2 linked regions of the Oreochromis niloticus genome follow. The protein of the gene in region 2 interacts with the protein of the main gene of each other region in a biochemical or structural test. Links are inferred from orthologs where the notes say so. Each region holds a gene or a part of one and is shown on either strand. Other genes may lie near its edges. The genes, in order: rnf181 and itga2b.

Region 1 (11,551 bases), on a different chromosome or scaffold from region 2:
TAGTTTGTTTTTTTTGTTTTTTTACTCTGCATAGCTGGTCCCTTGGTTTTCTCCTTCTCCCCAGACTCCTACCCAAAACTTTTGTGTGGCTGACCTGCTTCGGCGTTTTGCTTCTCTCTGCACGGCACACTTTTCTTTTTCTTTTAACAGAAGAGCATTTCATGTTTGATTTCCGAGTTTGTGTAGTAGGTAGGAACCACTGAATGTCTGAGAAATGAATAGTTACGTTATGTTTTACAGTTTGAGAGCACACAGGCTTTTTTAATCAATCAAGCATAAATTAATTATTGCACCTGCCTTTGGTTTGGTTGCACAGATAATTTGAATTCAGATGGTCAAGGTACTTTTTAAATAATTTTTTTAAAAACGTGTAAATGTGTATCTTGGGCCTGCGTCCCTCGTGTGCGAGCAGCATGGAAATGAATCAATGATAATTGTCATCTCCTTTATGTCGTTCCATTAATTTGTAGTCAGTTTCTTTGGAATGCTAACATTTCATGTTACCCTTTATTTCACCGATGTCCACGCAATAACTGCCATCAGTCATGTGATAATGAGTTTAACGCAAACCTTCTCTTTGGTTCTGACAGACATTTAAAGCCCATGTTATGATAAAACAAGCTCGCATGTGAGTTAAAACAAGAATCGACTTTGGCATTTGAGAATAACGCAGTTCTTGTTTGCACATTGATGTGATTCCAAGCTGGACCCTTGGAAGCCTTATTTGAGTTCATCGACCAGCGTTTTGTTTCAGTATGAAGTGATGTGAAGCCCAAGGTAGTGTGATTTATTCACAGGAGAGGTACATATGATACAGGCTGTAGACTGATGTCAAAGTGCTTTATGTAATGCGTTTTTGTTTTTTTTTAATTGTGTTGTTGCCAATTTCTCTTAAGTTGTTATCTTTGTTGTAGCTCAACACCAGACTGCCACACATCACCACTGGTCAAACAGCAGCTGGCTAATGCTGCCTGTTACATTTCTTTATGTTGGAGTGAATGAGGTGTGTTTCACAGATGCACAGTATTCTGCCCTCTGCATAGTGTTGAGTCATTTTAAACTGTCTGAAACACTGGATGCCAGCAATACTTTTTTTTTTTCCTTCTTTTTTTAAAAGGTCACCTACCTCTATCGTTTGTCAGTTGGATGTTACCAGAAGGTGAAAGCTTGTAGTGCAGAATACAGTTGTGAAACCTTTTCCATCTCGCAGCGTTTGAGGTATTTAATGTTATGGCGAGTCGGCAGTCTGCGGCTCTGTCTGCAAGTGTCTGTCCTAAGAAGTGTCAGCATCCTGTGTAACAGCACAGTGGATGCACTGTTACACAGGATGCACAATCATGTGTCTGTTTTGTCAATCCTGTTTGTCCTGCAAAACTTGCCAAAAAGACAAATCTACTCCAGGTTGAGTTAAAAAAATTTTTTTGTGTCTTTTCTGTTTTACCATTACATCTTTTATTGTACTTTTTTTTTTTTTTTTTTTTTCCCCTTCTTCTCATGTGTTCACCTGTAACCTGTTTTGCTATACTGTAACTGAGTCATGCAGTTTGACTCCCAATGGCAGCTTGTTTGAGTCCTCACATTGGGGCTGGGATTATTCTGTTACAGCATCTATACCATAATGCCATCTTCCACACGCCAAATATTAAATTAAAGTGGATTTCATTATTTTATTTTTTTTCTTTCTATCCAAATGTGCACTTCAATATGCAGTCAGATCATTAGGTTGTTTGTGTAAGAACACTGTATTACAAAAAGCCGCCTGAACTGTACGTCTTGAACTTTAACAACACAGAAAAACTTTACTGGTCCTATTTTTCTTTTGAATTTGAAGAGTATGTAAAGGAATGGTAATCACGAGTCTGACAAATCCCTGAAATCAAGTCAACACAAATTGTTTGTTTTTTATAAATTCTGTAAATATGTATGATTTTTGTCTATCATTTAGGTATTTTCATTTGACAGAGATTTATATTCAAATATGAAATAAAAATGATAAATTATTAGCATGTGGCTTTCATGGACTATTTTAAACGCACAGAATTCCCTTTGTTTCCTCAATGTTACTTTCAGCTGCTGTGTCTTCGATTTAGAAGATTATTTTCTTCTGTGTGGGATGCCCCTCCTGACGCAACCCCGAAGGAATTCAGATCTCCTCCTGGGATCAGACCGGGGCTCTTGGGCTCTCAAAAACACTCAGTGAATGTGTAAACTACAACGTTATATAAACGGCAAAATTAGTTCAACTCTACAAATCAGCTTCTATTTTAATTTCATCATCCCTTTCATCAGGGCAACTGTCTTCTGGTAATGTTTCCCACATTACCACTGTGACGTGGACGCAGTTTGAAGATTGTCATATGATTCAGGAGCATCAAAACCAATTCTGTGCAGATTGTGTTCTTAATATTCACTCCAGATAGGCTACAGGACAGCTAGTGTTTTCTCTAAAATTAAAAACAACATCATGGGACCAGCTGAAGGGGAACTCCACAAATCTTCCCAGTTACAGATCAAATTACTCAGCACGAGGAACAGACAGAAAAATCTGCTGAGACTGCAAATGTACAAAAAAAAGCCCGTTCTCTACTGGGAACATGGAGTTTGAAAGATGCGGGCATTTATCCGTGAACAACGGGCAACCCAGAATTTGACTTCCGCTAAGCTTGTTGGCGATTCTTTTAAAATTAAGCTTTTGATTAAAAAAAACAACCAAAATAAAATCATTTTTTAATTTATTTTTATTTTATTTTATGAAGAAGTAAGAACAGCAGCAGACAGAGGTTAAAATCATAAATTACAAATCATAATTACTTCATAGTTGTTGAACAAATACAGACGAACAGATTTTGTCCATTTATAGCCTACAAAGTTGGGTTTTTTTGTTGGTTTGTTTTTAGAGGAAAAGAAAAAGCAGCTGCTGTGTCTGAGAGCGCTCTGCTGGCAACAGGATGTGGAAGTATAATGGTCCTAGCTAGTGAGAAAACGAGCATTTTAAATGTTTAATGACCTTGTTGCTTACACTGCATTCACACCACGTCAACAGAGTCGGGAGACCAGGAGCCTGTTCACACTAATCCTCGACAGTCATCCCGATTGCCCAACATAAAGTCATTCCAGATAAACTGATGTGTTGTTTTTATTTTACTGTGGTCCATTTTTTCAGTATTACAATTTTATTGCTGATATTTTGCCAAATATTTCACACTGTTTCCCCATCCCTGAGCGTGAAACTACACTGTGTGAAATGGTGTGCGAATGCAGCTTTATGCACTTCTCAAGCTTTCATTAAACTAAAATGTCAATGTGCCACAACCTTGCCCAACAGCACTGCAGCGTCATGTGTACATGGCTCCATGCAGGCCCTCCAGCCGATGCTCGCTCTGTTTCCTTCTCTCCTGCAGATCAGAAAAATAAATAAATAACAATATTCAGCTAATGCCACGATAAATGTACCGTTAAACGTGAGGACAGGACACACTCAAACACACCCACCTTGTCTTTTTTAAACTGCTCATAGTCTGCATTATCGGTGGGTAATTCAAGTCGGCAGAGCGGACAGGAGTTGGTCTAAAGTTTAAAGACGACAAAGAAAAAGAAAAAAGGATTTGTAAGAGGTCACGATCGTGTGTTTTCTATTTCAAAGAGAAGCACAAACACGGGAGCGTTACCTTGTCCAACCATGGGAGTATACATCCTGAGTGGAAAAGGTGTTTGCAAGGCATTTCTCGAGCCGTTTGCTGCTCCTCGAACTCCAGCAGACACACAGGACACTTGAGACCTCTGCCTGTGAGAATGAAAAACAAAAAGCCACATCAAAATCTCAGGTACTATGCACGCTTACGTAGATTTTCTGCCCTTTCTTAATGGGCTGATCATCAATCTAAATGTCAGCGCAGTTAATTCTCGTGCTTCTGTCTACCTGCTTGTTCAGCAGTTATAACGATCACAGTGAGGGTCTGAACAGCAGTTTTGGCAGCTGGAGGAGGAAGCCTCTGGTCCCAGCTTGACATGCCAGCATAGCGTGCGTCGATCCAGTCCAAGCCCTGTATCAAATACCTGTAAACACCAACGCAGACACCAACAGTCAGTCAGAGCGCTGCAGACATGAGAATAAAGCCTCTTTGTTTGCTCGCCCTCACCTGGCCATCTCAAGGAGAGCATTCTGGCGGTACTGCTCCTCGGGGTCGGTGGGCTCGCAGTTGTGTTCATCAAAGTAGGATGCCATTTCCGCCCAGTATGTCCTGTTCACAACAACAGAAATCAGGCATGAGACATGCTTTCATTAAAGCTTGGCTCTACAACAGACAGTGAAAATGAAAAGCTGAGGAATGCGATTGATGAGTGAGCACCGTGCAGGAAAGTACGAGAAACACAGCTATGCCAATCATACTGGAAAGCAGATATATATGTGCCTTGATGGCAGGGACTGATGTTGTTTTGTAACTTCAGTTTTGTTCAGGATAAACATTCAAAGAGAGTGTGATGGGGATCTGAAACACAGTCCGGTCATGTTTTACAATAAAGGCTTTCCTTGGGGACTCGATCACAATAGAGGGGGAGGGGGGCAGATAACAACAAAAACACGAGTCAGCGCAGAGATACCATCGACCTGGGCTACTTGCTTTATTACGTGAAAACAAAAGAGAAAACTGCTCAACTTAGCAAATTCTGTTCACGTATTAAGGATACAAATAAAACTTCAAAATATAAAACTGAGAACATCGCAAAAAGCGTTTTCCAGCCGAACTGTGTAAACAGTGAGCCAGCCGCTTCGACGTTAACGACCAACAATGGCTCAAAGGCTCTTCCACATTACAAATAGCCTCCACACTGAACTACCGGAAACACCAACCCTTACACGAGCTTTGTCCAATCATAAAATACAAAAAGAATTTATTGTCTTAAAACTATTCCCGACCTGATAAATTTGGTCGACTCACCTGAAATCTTGCAAAGAAACATTTGTCATCTTTCCGGGTAGGAAGATAGCCACGTGACTCCTCGTCCAATCACAGTAGAGGTTTGGTTTTCCTCGTCTTCTGTTTTGTTTGTCTACGTAAGCGTGCAAAATGTCTCACTAGCGCCCACAATCGGTGAAAGACGTTCCCAAACACTGAACTTTCAAAGGGTTTCTGTACGGAAACGAATCATTTATTTATTATTTTTCTAATCTATAGGTGATGAATAATACGGACCTTCTGCCTAGATTTTGTAGAATTGCTTAAATAAAAAGGGCTAACTTATCATAGTGAGTAGGGACAGCAGGGTGCTGTGAAGGTTGTGGGTTTGAATCCTATGCGTATCTTGATCCCCATTGGGGATTTTAAATTAACTAAAGGTGTAAAGGTGTGAGCATGAATAATCTATGCATTAGCTCTGTGACCTCTCCAGGGTGTACTCTGCCTATCACCCAGCTGTGACCCTGAAGTGGATAAGCAGAAGAAGAGGGCTCTTACCTCGTCCTGAAAGAGGTGCTATACAGCTGGACTAATGTCTGATTAAAGTGGACCTATGATGATTATTATCTATTTAACTGTGATGAATTAAACTTTACATAATGAAGTCGTCGCGTGTACAAGCAATCTCTGTGAGTGTTTTTGATGATTTCAGTGAGAGCAGGTATCCTTAATAAAGCTACACTCATCTTCTCTTTAAACCTTTTGTCTGCACTATTCAGTCAATCAGAAGATGGCTATCTTAAAGGGAAGGACTAGAAAGCTAAAACAGCTTGTGTAAGACTGTACCAAGATAAATAAGGGTCATTTTTACCTGTGAATCATGCAAAGCTTCTCTAGAAGCTAAGAAATTGCAAAGCTTAAGGGTAACAGCTACACACAAAGTAAAAGCTTAGCATAAATTAGACCCTTGGATGACATTTTGATACCAAAACTGAATTTATTGGCATAATCAGGCTAGAACAGAGTAATCTCACTATTTGTATCTATTGACATTCAAAGTGAAAAGAAAAAACAAAGTGAACAGACAAGAAAAACTGAAAGAAGGTATGGCTTTGGTTAAATAACCTCTACGAAAGTCATTTTGAAAAGATGACTGTTACAGGATATCTTAAATACAGTGAGAAAAAAAAAGAAGAAAGAATTAAGGCTCTAGAATTCCCTGAACAAGACAAAAGGCCAAATCTGTCTGCTGTGTATGAATAACGTTGTACAGAACCCCAACCTGGTGGTCATACAGTAGATGCTCCTCAGACGCTGAGGGAGACGAGTCATCCTAGTCCTACCAGTTATTCTAGCAGACCACCAGGCTCTCATTTTTACAAACTCACAGACTAATAACATGAAAACAGAACAGCGGACTCTTGACCTGCTCTCAGTATTTTTTGCTGAATTTGCCAGTGTTATTAGACATGATACAATGGCACAGACAGCCTAAGAAATAGATGCTGATGCTGAAATACAAAGCTGTTAATCCACAGTTGCATAGTTATCGGAATATCACAGGCAAATTGTGTGTACGGTTTGCATTCTCTCAAAAACAAACATTCATCAGCTTCTCGATACAGTAATATCAGCAAAGACATCCAAATATCTCCGCTATGCCTTCCCAGCAGCCCTTTCCTTCTTTTAACGAGTGGTTATTAAACACATGTACATGCTTACAATGTAGCTGCATTGGATATGTACAACAAACAACAACAAAAACTTCTCAGGATGTACTCAGAAACAGTAATGGTAGTGTAGCGCAAAAACACCGTACTCCCAATATCTCTGTGCAGTTTCACTTTAGGTGACGCAAATCCAACAAACTGCTTTTAGACTCGCTTTAATTCAGAGGAATCAAAAGGAATGATTTGGCAGCACGTGTAATGAAGAGTGAACACCGCAGTGACTGTTGAGTCAAATATTAATCCATGCTCAGTTTGCCCTTGACTGCTTTGTAACACAGTATGCATCTTTAATTAAAATATGACATACTAGAAAGGGGTTTTTGGTCAAGGGACACTAAAGATGCATTTCACCATAAAACACAACTTTATCAGTTATATAAAGATGTGCCTTATCTGACTTTAGACTAGGGAAGGGAGAAAGTAAAAAGCCTTTTATCCTGATCATTTGTTTAAAAAAAAAAAAAAAGTGTTTATATTGTGTAAAAACAACAGGTCACCTGTTCCCTGCCATATGTTCATTTTATTTGATTTCTAAAATGACGCACTCAACCAGTGAGTAACTTCACCACACACCGAGCGTTTCATAGATCAGAGTTTCAGTGTGCTTAGTAACAATTTATCACCTTCTAAAAAGATAAAAAATAAAATGATTTGAGGATTACACACATACATACACACACACACACACACACACACACACACACACACACACACTCAAAACAAACAAACAAAACAAAACAGAGACAGCTGTTTGTTTCAGCACATCTAAGTAGACTGGGAGAAAAGTTGCTGATTTGGAGGGGGGGGGGATTTTCCTTTAAAGACCAAATACACCCTCATCCGATATAGTCACCCGCTCACAACACATAAAAAGCTTCACAAATAAACTGCTGTCAATCAAAAAAAAAAAAAAATCTGAATGACATGAAAAACATTTAGTCTGGCAGAAGCAGCACACCGCTTCAACCACATGCACATACTTAGCCCATACACACTTCCAACGCCATCATCCAGAGACAGCTTCCTGTGATACAAACTAAACCCGTTCTCACTCTCCCTGTGCTAGAAATGCTTCAGACTCTCATTTTAGCCCTGACCCAAGTGTGCCAGTGTTAAACATTCCCCCTAACTCTCTAACTGAACAGCTTGATGAAGCAGCCGTGGCAGTAGGGTTTATCGTTTTGCTCTTTAAAGGTGCCTTTGTTGAGCTGTTTCAGGCAGAAGGCACAGACAAAATGCTCTGGGTGAAACTTCTTGGACATGGCTGTGATGCAGCGCCCCGTGATGGGCTTCTGGCAGCCGGAGCAGAGGGAGCCGCGACGCTCGTGGTAGTGCACTTCACAGTAGGGTTGGCCGTCATGCTCAAAAAAGCTTCCATTCACAAACGGGGTGAAGCACTCCTGCAGAGACACACACACACATTATTATTTTAGTACTCTTTTTCTTACAAGGCGTGCAAACTATTAAGGAAAAGTTCCTGACTTAAGCATAACACTAACCCTGCAAACAAAACACTCGGGATGCCAAAGACAGTTCAGAGCTGAGATGTAATTTTCCAGAATGGCTCTGGCACAGCCGCCGCATTTCGGTGCAAACATGTCAAAGTAATCTTTCCTGCAGTAGGCCTTTCCATCCTTTTCATGAAAACCTGAAAGTAGAAAGAGACAAGAGATTATATCCACTCTGAAGTAGAGAGAAACTGCTAAGCAGTATGATTAAAAAAAATATACTTGTATCACTTTACCCTCAGGGCCAAAGAAAGAGCCACACTGAGCGCAGAAGAAGTGTTCGGGATGCCATGTCCTATCCAGCGCCGTCACAACTTTCTGAATGGACATTGAAGACATTTATTATTGGCTGACACGTCTACAGCAGAGACCACATGTGTGGAGAGCAGTGACTCACATCCAGGATGGGCCCGTTGCAGTAGTAGCACCGCGGAGAGAACAGATTGTGGTAATCTTTCTCACAGTAGGGCTGTCCTTCACGTTCAAAAAAGTTCCTGGAGCCGATTTCCTCTTGACAGTGTGTGCACACAAAGTGTTCGGGGTGCCATGTGCGGCCCATGGCGGTCACCACCTAAAAAATAAACGACAAAAAAAAACAGATAACCGAAGCATGGTTAGCAAACATCAATTTATGTTACAGACAAAAGATTACCTTAACCGAACCATCTCACCTGTCCCACAATCGGCTTACAGCAGGCTCCGCAAACTCCTTTAGCTACTGTCTGCACGCCCAGTTTGTTGAGGTCAGACTGCAGGCTGCCAAGCATGTTGTCCAGCTTGTTGACCTGTGTCGGGGGCCCACCGGAGACACCACCCTTCCCTTGGGCCATAATCTGAAATGGTTCAGTATGAAAATAGTTATTTACTGTTGAAATGTAACAAAACTATTTAAGTTTTGGGATACTAAACTTTAAAATAAGCGTGAAAAACAGAAGGAATAAAAGAGGGAGGGGTTCATGCCTGCATTGGAGGGAAGATGGGGTCATACTCAGTTTGGCAGCCTACAGAGACCAGGACTTTGGGTGCAACTGGGGGAACCGAGTCCACTGTTGGTGGCTGGGTTGGGGTTTTTAGGACAGGAAGAGGCGGCTCTGGTTTAGGTGTAGAAGGGTTCTGGACTGGAGCCGGTGGAGGTGAGGGTTTTATGAACTGCCGAGGTGGAGCGGGAACTGGTTCGTGAATGTGGTGGGTACGTTGTGGAGGTGGTGAAGGAGGTGGAGGAGGTGGGGGTGGTATTGGGACAGGGGGGTGCTGTACTGGGAGGGGTCGCTTAGGTTCTTCTATGACAGGGGGCGACGAGGGGTAGGGGGAGAGGGAGGTGGGAGCACCTTCCTCACAGGGACAGGCGACTCGGGGGGAATTATGATCTGAAGAAAAGAGGAAAAACAGAAGGAAGGAAGGAGACAGGAAATGTGCAGAAAAGGAAAACAAAAGTGAAACAACTGCAAAAGGAGAATTTGTGGAAACTGGCAAGCACACTGAAGCCAACCTTGTCGACCTCACTGGCCGCCCCATCGGGACGATATCGCTGAGGTTTGGACGTGATGATGACACCCTCCGTCAGCCAATCATCGGACTGTTTGCGCCGCCGTTCTGAGCGGCCGATCCCAAGCTTACCCTGAAGCTCCTCTATGAGACGGTCCTGGGAAGAGTTCTTGTTTACAATGATGGGTCCCATCTTCCTGCGCAGGTGAGCCTCTCGGTACATGGGGTGCACATTGGGAGTCTCCTTAGTGCGCCTAATAACTGATTTTATCTAAGAGCAGGGAGGGAGGGAGTGAACACCTTATCATATGTCCACTCCAATTTACAAGCTCAAGCACTTACAGCAGAGCACTGAGGCAGCAGGTCAGTCACACCAGCCGTTTTCAAGTCACTGACATGCCGGCAAAGCAGTGGTCACTGAGCTCAGAGTCCCATATTAGGAACTTTACGCATGCTTTCATCAGAAGCCACTGCTATCGATGATCTAACTCTCATCCTTCAGTTTCTCAAGCAGCCACATAAACATCAGCTCTCAGTTTGGTCCTTCACACAAATGCAGTGGTGCCATGCAGAGTGCTGGTGCTACCAAACAGCAGGTTAGTTGTAAGTGTAGTTTCCAAGCAAAACCTATTAATTAGCTTGCTTCAGCTCCTTCAGCCTCTTACTTACAAGGCATTTTCTTCTAAACAAATACATGTAGTTTCTATATATCGATCAAAGCTTAAACATATTGCGTTTTTCCGCCTGGTTTATTTGCCTGGCTAAATTGGGGGTATGCAATATATTTTTGGAGTAACTGGGCACCATATTATTAATGAAATTGTCTGACAGGATCTCAAATCACGCATCTCCTCCAAGGTCTGTTTACAGGGATGAAAAGAATCGAGCTCAAGACTTTGGCCAATCACAGCCCTGATGATACTGAAAGCTAATAAATCAATCATAATTGTATCTGATGTAAGGATCATAGTAGTGGTCAAAATAGCAGATAAAATATTAGATGCCATGTTTTAGTTTTTCAAGAAACATGCAAGATAAACCCTTGCAGCAGAGGCTGGGATTCATAGGAGCATCAGTCTCATTAGCTAGCAAAACAAGCCTATTTTAAAATCAGGCAGGCCCGGCGAAGCGTACATGTCCAGATGCTGAGACTCTGTCTATAGTGGGTGTCTGAAGCAGGGGCAGGTCCAGGGTGACGTCAGGGGTCCCGGGGCATGACGATGGGGTCATGGACTCATCCATCCAACTGGCCTCTGTCAGTGGGGTCATGCTGCCATCTGTATAGAGCCTCTCAGTGTAAGGGGTCATGGTGCCATCCAGACCGTCATGTAAGGACATGGACAGCTCTTCGTCTGCCCAGTCCAGGTCTCCGTTCCCGTCTGTTCCTCCGTCCACTGAATCGTCTGTAAAAGTGTTGGTGAAAGTGTCTGGCTGGACACTGCTTCTGTCCAAGGGCAGGATAAGCTCCTCGTGCACCTCCTGCATTCCTCTGCCTAGACACTCTGCATCATTCTTCAGCTGAGGTCCATCCACATTCGCCATTGTGTGATTTTGTGAAAAACTCATTGCTAGAAGCTTGTCTAGTGCCTCATCCAGGGATGGCTCTACCACAGGCGGTTGCTGTACAGTGAAGGTGGTGGTTGTATGGGTTGCGGGTGCTGTCTCCAGCAATTGTCTGTTGTGGTTATTAAAGGCCATTGGAGAAGAGACTATTAGTGGCGAGACTGGAGATGGTGAAGATGTTTTTGAAGGTGGGGACAGAGAGACAAAAACGGGGAGGGGTGAGGGGGCTGAGACCTGAGGGGTGAGGTTCTGGGTAGTAAGTAAAGACGAAGAGGAGAAACTGACATCGAGATCATAAAAACAAGGAGAACCCTTGCTTACACTCTCAGGAGCACAAGAGGATTTACCTCCAGAAGCTGAGGGTGAG
Region 2 (11,835 bases):
TGTTCATACCTGTCCTCTCTCCTGTAGCTGCTCCTTCACTCTGTCCATGAAGAGCGGAGCTCCAATCAGCACATCATCCAGACTACATTCAAGCGGACAGATGGAGAGATAGTAATGTAAACCGCTCTGATGTCTGAAAGTATCCAAAGCAAATGTCTTCTTACCCGTCACTGTTGACGTCGGCCACAGCTACACTGTGTCCAAAATATGACGCCACCTGCAGGAGATAGAGACACCACAGGTCCACTTTCAGACTTCCAAATTTTAGTCCTGCCATTTATGCTGCAAATGGAGGTTTTATACCTGAGCTCCCAGAAAGGTGTGGTGAACTCTGAGAGATCCAGTGCTTCTTCCATCATAGATCTTCACCTGTTAACACACAGATGGATGAAAAAGTCCAGGTAAACCACAGAAAACAGAAAGTCAGGCTCACCTCAACACATGGCTTGGGCTCTGGAACCAGTCTCTTGGAGAGGGGCTGGACTCTGTCTCAGTCTGGAGTTGCCCTGGTGAGAGGCGACGGGCTGGGGTGGCTATCCTATATCCCCTTGTCTTGCTGCCTGGAGGTTGGGGTTTCTCCCAGTGGCTGAGGGGTTTTGTTCCCTGTGCCTTTGGGTTGGGGAACGGGTCCTGACTGTTGTCTGCGCTTATGCGCCGAATGACAGTTCAGAGTACCCAGCCTTCTTGGAGTCCCTGGCCAGGGTGCCTGAGGGTGCTGTACCTGGGGACTCTGTTGTCCTAATGGGAGACTTCAATCCTCATGTGGGCAACAACAGTGAGACCTGGAGGATCATGATTGGGAGGAACGGCCTCTCGGATCTGAACCCGAGTTTGTCCATAACAAACACCATGTTCAAACACAAGAGTGTCCATAAGTGCATGTGCACCAGGACGCTCTAGGCCGCAGGTCAATGATCGATTTTGTAATTGTATCACCGGACCTGCAGCCATATGTTCTGGACACTCGGGTAAAGAGAGGGACTGAGCTGTCAACTGATCACCACCTGGTGGTGAGTAGCCTGTGGGACTTCAGAGGCAGCCACAGCTCTGCAAGTGGTTGAAGCAAAAACTCAGATGTAGGAGGAGTTCAGAGAGGCCATGGAGAAAGACTTTTGGACTGCCTTAAAGAGATTTTGGCAAAGCAGAGTCTGGGGACGAGGGAGACCCCTGGATTGGCAAACGAGGTTAGTGGTTCCCATTCTTTTCACACAATGCTTGCCTGTGAGCATGTGTCTGAAAAGGATGCCCCGCCTTCAAATTATTTACATATAGATAAAAGCACTGTACATATGTGTGTGTGTGTGTGTGTGTGTGTGTGTGTGTGTGAGAGAGAGAGAGAGAGAGAGAGAGAGACTTTGGGTGAATGGGACTGAAAGAGCTTTCAGTGCTCAAAATTAAGTAGAAAGGTGCTCTTTAAGTACTTGCTCTGTTTACAATGTATCACCAGTCTAAACTGATGAAATCCATAAAAAGCTGGAGAATAAAGTAGAAAACAGTAGAGAGTTAAAAAAAAGAAAGAATCTTACTGTTCCTGCTGTGTTTCTGTCATTTGGAACACCGACCAGATAATCTGAAACATAAACAGTGAGATGACCACTTACATTATGTCACATTATACTGTATTATATTGTAATATAACCTGGTGTGGAGTCTCCAGTCAGCAGGCCACTGGCCACTGAGTAACCTGAAACAAATTTGAACAGATTTCCAGTGAATTCTGGGAAGTGTAGTAACACCTGATAACAGCCAGAGCTGAGCCTTTATTCTTTAAATTTGAGTTTCCTGTCAGAATAAAAGCCTTCTTCAGCTACTCACCGTGGTAAACATCATAGCCTCCCCTCTCATCTGATTGGCTTATGCCCGCCACATATTTTATAGGATCATCACTCTTCCCACTGTTGATGATGTCATCAACACCAACAGTGATCACCTGACCTGCAATCAGCACAGTGTTCATCAGCGCTGATGTCAGCAGTGATGTCAGCACTTACCTGCAGGTGGTGGTAAGCAAGTTCTTTAAAGCAAAAAACAGACTGAGGCTGAAGTTTATTCTTAGCATTCTATGAATGTCAGTGACATTTTCACTATGTTTTCTTTCTTGTAGAACAGAATGTCCTGGTTCTGCGTTCAGGTCTATTCGAAGTGTAATGTGTAATTACAGTAAGTGGCCAACAGGGGGCCCTCACCCTGAAAGAAGAAGCTTCCGGGAGCTCCGAGCACTAGCCGACCGTCCTAAAACATGCAGGGACATGAAGCATTAGCGCCACCGTGTGGATCATCATTATCATCATGGTACTCTGTGATTCCCACAGGAATGACTCCACCCACCACCATCTCACCTTGGTGACATCAGCGGTGAAGCCAACCTCACAATATCGCTGGTCATTTCCTAGGCAACAAGAAACAGATGTAAGACAGGAAACAGGAAGTAGTCAGGCCCTTTGTCTCTGTGTGTCTTCTTACTGTTGTGCATGCGTTTGTAGTCTTCCTCCATCATGAGCCCTCTGCAGGGGGAGAAGGGGGTGGAGTTTCCTGTCTTGTGTTCCAATATGAGGCAGTTCCCCACAGGTGTTATCCCTGACTCCACCCCTCCCCTCTGAACATTCCAGTGGAAGAGCGGCGCACATGCCTGAGAGGTGCACAGCGAATGATGAATGAACTTCACAAAGAACTCACCTGCTGCTAGTCTGTCTGTAATGAGCTGTGCAGCCTGCAGATGGCGCCAACAGACCGCGACTTACTAGCAGATGTGTGCTGCCGACTGATCGCACCGCTGCGCCGAACCACTGCTGGCTCTTTAAGCTGAGAAACAACAGACCTGAACTGCGGTGGACCTCATCACCTGCAGCAAGTAAGATAAACACAGCGTGGTGTGTACAAGGTCAGGACCGTGAGATCATGTGAGGTCAGGATGTGGAAGCAGGTGATGCTGCTCTGAATGCAGGACTGAACGTTATGTTTTTCTTTTTAGTGTTATTAATCTCTGTCTCTCTTCCACAGCATGTCTTTATCCTGTTTTCCTTCTCTGACCCCAACCAGTCGCAGCAGATGGCCCCGCCCCTCCCTGAGCCTGGTTCTGCTGGAGGTTTCTTCCTGGTAAAAAGGAGTTTTTCCTTCCCACTGTCACCAAAGTGCTTGCTCATTGTTCTTTATTGTAGGGTCTACCTTACAATATAAAGCTCCTTGAGGCGACTGTTGTTGTGCTTGGCACTGTATAAATAAAACTGAATCGAATTGAAGTGTTCTTTTAAAGGTTGTGAAATTTCTGCTGACTGTGCAGGTCTTAAAAGTGTGCCAGACTCACCTGTCAGATCAAAGTCAATTATGTCACAGTCCCTGCCTCTGGATGACCAGGGGCAGAGGAACACACCCCCTGCCTCAGTCACTCCTGATTGGCTGGTGTTGGCTTTGGGAGCTCCAATGACAACAAAGGACCTGCAGAAAGATTCTGCTGCTTGAGTGTTACCGTGGCAATCAGAGCTCAGCAACATTTAAAGCGTAGGCTGCATCCCCCTGAGGCCGCATTTGTAGACCGATTACGTCACAGCGACGCTTCGAAGGCTGTCCCAATTCGTAGACTCATCCGAATGCAGCCGACAAATGCGTCCTCCTATTCCCCACATTTGAAGGATGGGTCGGGTGTGTCCTTCGTGGCCCAACATATCCCAGAATTCATAGCGCGGCCCAGCCAATTCCACTTTCCAACAAAGCAGCTACTAAGTTTTAATATTACTCTTATAAACTTTTAAGATATTTTCAGGCGAGAATGTAGCTGTGTAAACTTCAAATATCTGCTCCGTTTATCAAGACATCACATATTGTGGTCCGACGTTTTCGGAGGCATCTGTTACCCACCAGCTCAATAGCTAACCGGAGGGTTCAATGGTCACTCGAGCCGGCAAAAACAGCGGACTCCTGGCTTCATTGTTTTCAGCCCCCTGCGGTCTTTGGCTACTCAGGTTAAACATGATATATAAGCAGTGTTGGGGAGTAACGGAATACATGTACTGCCGTTACGTATTTAGAATACAAAATATGAGTAACTGTATTCCGTTACAGTTACCGTTTAAAAAGGTGGTATTCAGAATACAGTTACTTTGTTGAAATAAATGGATTACACGGCGGTACTTCCCTGTTTCATATTGTCGCGGGTCAGGACTGTTTGGGTTTGTTTGACAGCTACGTAATGTTGTTCCAGGCGGCAGCGTTACGGTTGCCATGGTTACAGGGTGACGCGCTCTCTCTCTGCGTGTTTCCTGGGTGAGAGAGCGCTTTGTTGTTGTTGTTGTTGCGCTAAGCTAATAGGCAGAATGCTACATGTATAGCCCTAAAGAATGTAGCATGATGGGCAGTGTAGTCCGTGCTGCAGCGAGAATGGACTACCGTACCCGTTATGTGTCTGTGAGCGAGGGAGGGAGAGAAAGGAAAAGTCCGAGCTGTCACGGAGCAAAAACGGGAGCTGGAAGCATGTAAATATAATAATAACCACTGCAGCCAAGAAGAGTGCCTGACGAGCCCATTTGTAAGTAAGCTATTAAGACTCAACTGTACACTGTGTTCGTGTTTTCCTCCGGAAAAATTAAGTTCCGTTGGAGCAGCCTTTCAACGCCTCTCTCTGTCTCTGGCAAGCAAAGTTGACCCAGACAACAAAGTAAAGCTAGTTTTCGGCTACCAGCCCGACACGGAACCCACCGTATTAGCCAGAGGTCCCTTTACTACGGTTCGGAGCCGCGGACCTTCAGTATCAGTAATAAATCACAGCAATAGTACATTCACGTAGTTGTAAACAGCACGATAATATATTAAGTAATCCAAAGTATTCAGAATACGTTACTCTCATTGAGTAATGTAACAGAATACGTTACAGAATACATTTTGGGGCATGTATTCAGTATTCTGTAATGGAATACATTTTAAAAGTAATCTTCCCAACACTGTATATAAGTCACTTAGATAACCTAAAAATGTTATTGTTTGACTTTTTTCAGTGTTTTATTTGTTCCTGAGTTTGGCTTAGTTTGGCTGAGATCAAAATTATTGGATTAGATTAGATTACGTAAAACTTTATTAATCACTCGGGTGGGTTCCTCCGGGATTTTCACACAGCTGAATAAACGTCAAACAGAAAACTGATTAAACAGAAGTGTGAGACGGTCGAGAATTTACGCCAGTGTCCTGTTATATTTAGATAGCAAGGAGCAGACAGCTGAGTTTATTAAACTCCACCGAGACAATGGTGACGCAAATCTGAAGGCTAGACTGCCCAATTTCACAGCCTCGCACTTCTGGCCTTCTCGGTCTACGAAAGACCCAACCCACGTAGACCGCGAAGGCCAGGTCCTCCGAAGGATGCAGCCTATGTTTTGGGACACAGCTTGTACCATGTGAAGCACCTGCATAAAGCAGGTGAGGAAATCAGGAAGTTACACAAACAGCTAAGAGAATCCTGTCAATTTTCAAAATAAAAGACCCTATGCAGCACAAACACACTGCTTCTGAAGCACTCCAGGTGTAATTTGAACCACAACAGATGTGCCAGGTGTATTTCAGCTGTTCATCCAATGAATGAGGAAAGTCTGCCTTAGGGTTTAACTTAGTTTACCCTTTATTTAATTTTTACAGACAGGGAATTCTAAGTTATATCCATGAAATAAGATCAGGGTCTGGGGAATGGACCCCTTCCTGTCTGAGCTGACACCCCAGGTATTTTCACCAACTTACTTGTTATTGATGGTGTGAAAGTCAACGGAGAATCCAAACAGACTTCCTGTCGGTCCTCTGAACATGACTTCATCCAGCAGGTTCAGACTCACACCCAGAGTCACACACAGCAGCACACACACACACCTGAACACACACATCCTGCTGTCTCACTGCTGCCTGCCCGACTGTGTGGAGTATGAAGTATCCGCTGTGTTTGAACTTATAAACTCTGTGTGTGTGTGTGTGTGTGTGTGTGTGTGTGTGTGTGTGTGTGTGTGTGTGTGTGTGTGTGTGTGTGTGTGCGTGCGTGTGTGTGTGTGTGTGTGCGTGTGTGTGTACATTGACAGATCATTGACAGCTAGTTGTGTCAGTTTAACTGCTGAGCTGCTGCTTCCTGTTGATAGGACCTAAAAATAAAAGCCTCCTTATCTGAGTTTCATGTTTCTGTGTTTGTGGTGAGTTCAGGGACATCCAGGAAATGACTCTGTCTTCTTCATCTTTGCACTTGGCTGTTGTTTATTATCGTTCTCAGAGTCATCAGTAACTCCTTCAAGTTATCTCTGTGAGGCCTGAATCATCTTCAGTGATGACAAGAAGCTGACACTTTGTATGTTTAATTGTGTGAAATGTCTTGAGGGAACAACACTAATCTTCACTTTATTTATTACAGACAGAATTAGTCCATGTCATGTTCCAGTGTTTATAAAATCTTGACGTATTGTGTCACCACTATTGAATTTCTTGACTCATTCAAACGGCACATAGTTCCTCAGTAAGACAGGAGAAGTTGGAACATTAGTTGAAACTGAACAGCAGCCACTAATCAACTACCTACAGTTTGGTGAGGGAACTGAGGCATGAGTGACATAAAGGAAATTGTGTAGTTGACGTCAGACATCGGAGATGTGGCGGAAAAAAATGAATGGTAGCTCCGAATAAACAAACTTTTTTCAAGCTTTAATTAATTAATTTTAAGAATCCACTTTGTTTTCCTCTCCTCCTCTTCGATTAACATCTAACTTATTCATGAATTAATTAATTCGATGTGATGTCATAATAGATAAATCAGCGTTAATCTCTGTAGCATAACAGTGTTAATTACAATGCTCTCTTTTAGTTAAAATATGTAAAACAAAAGTCAAAGTAAATGAAATTATTGATAAAAAAAACTCAGTTCTTAGATTCTTACACTGTTGTGACACTTACATATAGGGCCTTGGGAGTGGGCATACTGCACGGCATCCATAGGACAGTCTGTTTATTCAGCATCACCTCTGGTGCCCACCTCTCAGTTTTAATTACATGTAGACATTGAGGGTTCTCAGGAGGGGTCGTGCTGACACCTGCTGCTTCCTGGCAGAAAGCACTGCACCCCTCTCATGTGTTAAATACACTTTAGAACAACACGCCGTAACACCACATGTGTGTGGGCAGAGAGAGGTATGGGGTCTTCACATCCCCGTTCTCTGCTCGCCATCGGGGCGGGGGGCTGGGAGGAGGAGTTGGGCATCTGGTCGGGATCTGGGATGCTGGGCTTCCCTGGTGCTGCTGTGGGACCGGGAGCACTGTGTTTGTCTCCACCCCAGAGCAAAGGGCAAGGTCTCCTGTGTCTAGGGGCGGATTGCCCCTCTGGGGGTGATGGTACCTGGACCTGGGGTATAGAGTATGTATGGGGAGTGTGAGTGTGTGTACAGTGTTCATTTCTGTGTGTCTCCATGTTGGGCGAGTGCTGAGTATTTGTATATGTGTGCATGAGGGTGGGAATGCATGCTTGTGTCTGTGTGTGCCTGTTTGTGTATGTTTATGTGTCAGGTCGGGTCTTAGACTCCACCTCTTTACATCTCAGGTCCCCCCTAGGTGCGGGGACCTAAATCCCCTCCAACATGCTCCCTGCCAGTGGCTGGTGCCCCTACCCACCGGTGCCCGGGGCTGGGTGCTTGGGTGTGTAGTGGCTCACTCCTGGTGGATGCTTGCCGGGACCTGGCCCCCCTGGCTTTGTTGTGCATCATTAGTATTGTGCTGCTCAGTAACATTCAGTATTTATTATTTCCTGTTACTCATGCTGATGTTGGTTGTTGCCGTAGTTTCCCTGCTCTGTTCTTCGTTTTAGCAGGTGATGAAGCAGTTTTTCAGTGACAAAAATCTACATGCTGCCAATTGAGATATGCCAAACTGTGTTTAACTGTTCTGCAACAGTGACAATAAAGATCGATTCTATTCTATCAAGTGTACCAGTACAGCAAAAGTTGTAATGATCCACTTGGTAAAATAAATCTGTACAGTGCTATTTGACGTGCAGACGTCCGTAGTCATCCTCACTCACTCACATTCAAAATTATTTTGTTTTATGTTTAGTCTTTATGATTAAACATTTCATCTGAAACACAGGCTTACAGTAAGTTCAGGAATACTAACTCCTCACAGAGTTAAAGAGCTTTGGTGACCCTAACCCCACCATATGACTTTGGTATAACATATTGCAATATGCAGAGTAACATATATTGTTAATTATTATCTTTAAAGTGCAGATTACATCATCAAGGTGAAACTTTGTCAGTTTGTGTTTCAGGAAGATAAAGTTATCTAACTTCAGTTATTTTGTTGCCAAGCATGCAAACACTGCAGCCTGATTGTTAGGTTTATATTGTTGGATTGTCATTTATGCTTAGAAATATATACTCATATATGCTTAGAGTTTTATAATCGATTGCATATTGATAGGATGTCTGATCCTTAGCAGTCTGCAAAGACTCTCTGTGCCTCCCAGAGCACTCTGGCATGCACACACATCCTAAGGTCATGAGAAAGGTCGTACCTTCTCTTACTGATTTATGGTATAGGAGGACACCTACTCTGTATCTGTTCAAGTATAAGAGCCCTTTGTTTAGGTGGACCGCTGGACTCCTGGCACCAGCTTTGGGGAGTCGTTCACAGGGTCACATCTTGACACACACACACGCACGCACACAGACAGTACTCTTTGTTCACATGTATGCCTATGTAAGATGTCATATGTTAATGAACCTATGCATATTCATTTAACCTCAATAAAAGAGCAGTGCTACGGGGGAGCTGACTGAGAGTGACTGGGGTTCGAGCTGAAGGAATGGCGCTCGTCACAGTTCTCTCCCTCGTCCACGAGCAACACAAAGAACTTTGGTGACTTGCGTCTTGCTTTTGCTGTTGTAGTAGAATTGTCTTGGTGTTCCAGCAGTAGGCCTGTGCTAAACACACCTATCACTGATATAAATGATGCTAAAGTCAGTCTGCTATCAGTCAGCAATCGACTGGGTCAAGCTGGCATCTCAGGAAGTCTGTTATTGATAAGGCTGTCCTGTTTCTGCTGGTGTAAGTGAGCGATGTGTCGAGCTGAGCGTGTCCAGTATTGGAAGCTTTTTTCGTTTTATTGGATGTTAGTTTGCTAACGTCCAGGAGACGAGCCCTTTTGTTTGTAGTTTTCCAAAGCTATTTTCATTTATTTAATAAAATATACATATTTGTCCTGTATCAATACAATATGGCCACGAAAAATATCATGCTGCCTTTATTTTTCCCACAGCCCTGTCAGAAACAGAGTGCATTTATGATTTATTTACATCTACATGTGTGAAGATCTGAAGCAGGAAAACCTTCCTGTTTGTGATGTGTACTGAGTGCAGTTTTTAACTGCCCCACATGAACATCACACACACCACTGTCTGTCAGAACTATCATTCTGCCTGTTGTTATGCAGTCCTGTGTTGACTGTTTGTAGCACCGTGGTGTTGGAGGAACGCTGTCATTCCCACCGTATGCTGTACCACTGCACACGGTGGGAATGACAGTAAAGCTGCTTGACTTGAAACAGCCTGATGTCTTTACCACTTTTTCCACTTGGTCAGACAGTCATGATGTCAGCACAAGTCATCAACAGCTGAACAACAAAACTGTCTTAAACTTTGTGTTCACTCCAACATGAACCTCCCACCACTGCACGCCATAACTGTTCCTCTTTTATTGCAGGCCTCTCTTGGAAATGAGGTTTGAATCTTAAACAAAGGATTAATAAACATGTCCCGCAAACATTTTACTCACAAGTTTCAGCATTTTTACTGGATTCATTTACGCTGACAGTAAAAAGCAATGTGAGACCACAGCTCAGCTCTGAAACAGGAAACTAATGCATGATAACATGACCTGAGTCACATCCTGAGAAAATGAAAAATAATACAGTTTAACAGACACATTACTCAGTGAGGCAATAAACGTACCTGATGAAGGCTGGAAAAAGCATCAAACATGTTGTTAAAAGACACAAAGTTTAAAGGCTGAGCTGACTGAAATGGCACGGTCTGTGTCCGTGAACAACCCTTCTACTCTGAGGAGTTTATGTGGATGAGGTTCAGTTGATTCTGCACGGACAGTTTTTCAGGTGTTTAATGTCATTAACGAAGGTGCTGCAGTTTATTTTTGCTGTGAGATGATTTTATTCATCACATTTCTCTGAAAAACATTTAACATGGTTGTGAGGACTTCAGAGCAAATGTTAAAGTGTTCAGACAAAGCCGTGACGCACGTGTTTACAGATGCACATAAGATAATAAAATCAGGTCTTATATTGAGCAAAAACAGAAACTGGACCTCATACCGTCCCTGTTTGCTGCAGTTTGGCCTCGGTCCTACAAAATGGTGCATTAGTTACGGTAAGTGAGACGCCACCTGCTGTTGTTTCTCTGTTAACACATACAGTTGCTTTAGCTCCACCCACCAGTCTCCAGGGCGATGCCAGCGAGGCCGTAGCAACAGGTCATTCAGGAAAGCAGCAAGACACGCCCCCAAACTAGGCCCCACCCAGAAAACCTGCACAAAAGCAACCAATCAGATCTGAGTATGAGTCTGCATTAGTGTGTGTGTGTGTGTGTGTGTGTGTTGTTACCCAGTGGTTGTTGAAGTTGAGTGTGATGACCGCCGGACCAAAGGAGCGAGCTGGATTCATCCCACAACCTGTCACACTTACCTGAGAGTGAGAGACATTTTTATCTGCATTACACCTGCAGATAAAAAGCTAAATGAAAGTGTGTGTGTGTGATTACAGTCAGATACTAGAAATAACAGCATGCAGGTGCTTACAGCCACCAGGTGCCCCAAACTGATGGCTAGGCCCACTAACAGCGGAGGCACCACATCCGGCAGGGGTAGTATATTTAGTAGTATATTTTATTACTACCAGTAATTTATTGCCGTTTACTTGTATTTGCTTAATTGTTTACTAAATGTTTGAGGTGTGAAATAAACCGCAATGGAGCAAAATATGGGTGTGTGTGTTTGGAGGATGTGTTTGTGGGGGGGTTAGGTGGTGGGGGGCGCGAACATTTTTCTTGTAAAAAAGGGGGGCCTGGCAAAAAAAGTTTGGGAACCACTGTGTTAATAGACCTCTCTGCACTGAATCATGCTTGTTATTAATCTCTGTCTCTCTTCCACAGGATGTCTTTATCCTGTCTTCCTTCTCTCACCCCAACCGGTCACAGCAGATGGCCCCGCCGCTCCCTGAGCCTGGCTCTGCCGGAGGTTTCTTCCTGTTAAAAGGGAGTTTTTCCTTCCCACTGTCGCCAAAGTGCTTGCAAATAAAGGACTGTCTGATTGTTGTTAGGTTTTTTCTGTATTATTGTGGAGTCTTTACTTTATTTATTTATTTATTTTTTTTCTTTTAGTCTTTACTTTATAATGTCACCAACACCAGCGGTGATCACCTCATCTGCAACTGTTTGCAGATGATTTGGTGCTAGACGTATAAAACTTAACTAAATGAAGCTTACCTGGTTGAGTGCATGTGTGACATCTCCAGTCAGTCCCAGCAACAGCACTGCAGAAGCCACACCCCCCAAGAGCTGACCAATCACATACAACACCGCCCTCCAGAGCCGAAGCCTTGAGGTCGGGACCATTGCTAGGGTAATCGCTGGATTCAGGTGAGCACCCCCTCCCACACAGATGGCTGCCATAGCAACAGAGACACCAAAGACCAGCACCACATGCAGCGGGCACACAGGTGAGACAGGTCCAGACTGGTGCACACCTGCTGGCAGGTGGCTTGAGTGGGAAGGCTGCATCACGACAGCTGATAGGCTGACAGACAGGAAGAGGGTGGACCCT

Evidence for each region.
Region 1: the proteins of itga2b (region 2) and rnf181 form a complex in vitro, tested with the Homo sapiens proteins (2 studies listed by BioGRID). The link is inferred for Oreochromis niloticus from reciprocal best matches to the Homo sapiens genes ITGA2B and RNF181.

What each region holds. Positions count from the first base shown.
Region 1 is NC_031977.2:8,679,802-8,691,352, reverse strand, and holds rnf181 (E3 ubiquitin-protein ligase RNF181), read right to left. Parts: upstream 5,093-11,551; 5' UTR 4,970-5,092; coding exon 4,941-4,969; intron 4,242-4,940; coding exon 4,140-4,241; intron 4,057-4,139; coding exon 3,920-4,056; intron 3,785-3,919; coding exon 3,669-3,784; intron 3,568-3,668; coding exon 3,493-3,567; intron 3,396-3,492; coding exon 3,336-3,395; 3' UTR 2,891-3,335; downstream 1-2,890. Other genes in the region: pxnb (mucin-5AC), read right to left, coding at 9,497-9,892, 10,756-11,551.
Region 2 is NC_031969.2:35,266,473-35,278,307, forward strand, and holds the start of itga2b (integrin alpha-IIb), read right to left. Parts: upstream 5,916-11,835; 5' UTR 5,862-5,915; coding exon 5,722-5,861; intron 3,436-5,721; coding exon 3,305-3,435; intron 2,843-3,304; coding exon 2,742-2,842; intron 2,630-2,741; coding exon 2,464-2,629; intron 2,390-2,463; coding exon 2,340-2,389; intron 2,324-2,339; exon of another isoform or gene 2,233-2,323; coding exon 2,187-2,232; exon of another isoform or gene 2,105-2,186; intron 2,004-2,104; exon of another isoform or gene 1,958-2,003; coding exon of another isoform or gene 1,936-1,957; coding exon 1,816-1,935; exon of another isoform or gene 1,696-1,815; intron 1,685-1,695; coding exon 1,640-1,684; intron 1,571-1,639; coding exon 1,527-1,570; intron 370-1,526; coding exon 304-369; intron 218-303; coding exon 165-217; intron 83-164; coding exon 10-82; intron 1-9. Other genes in the region: aquaporin-1-like, read right to left, coding at 10,381-10,542, 10,619-10,699, 11,499-11,835. UniProt on the Homo sapiens protein: Integrin alpha-IIb/beta-3 is a receptor for fibronectin, fibrinogen, plasminogen, prothrombin, thrombospondin and vitronectin. It recognizes the sequence R-G-D in a wide array of ligands.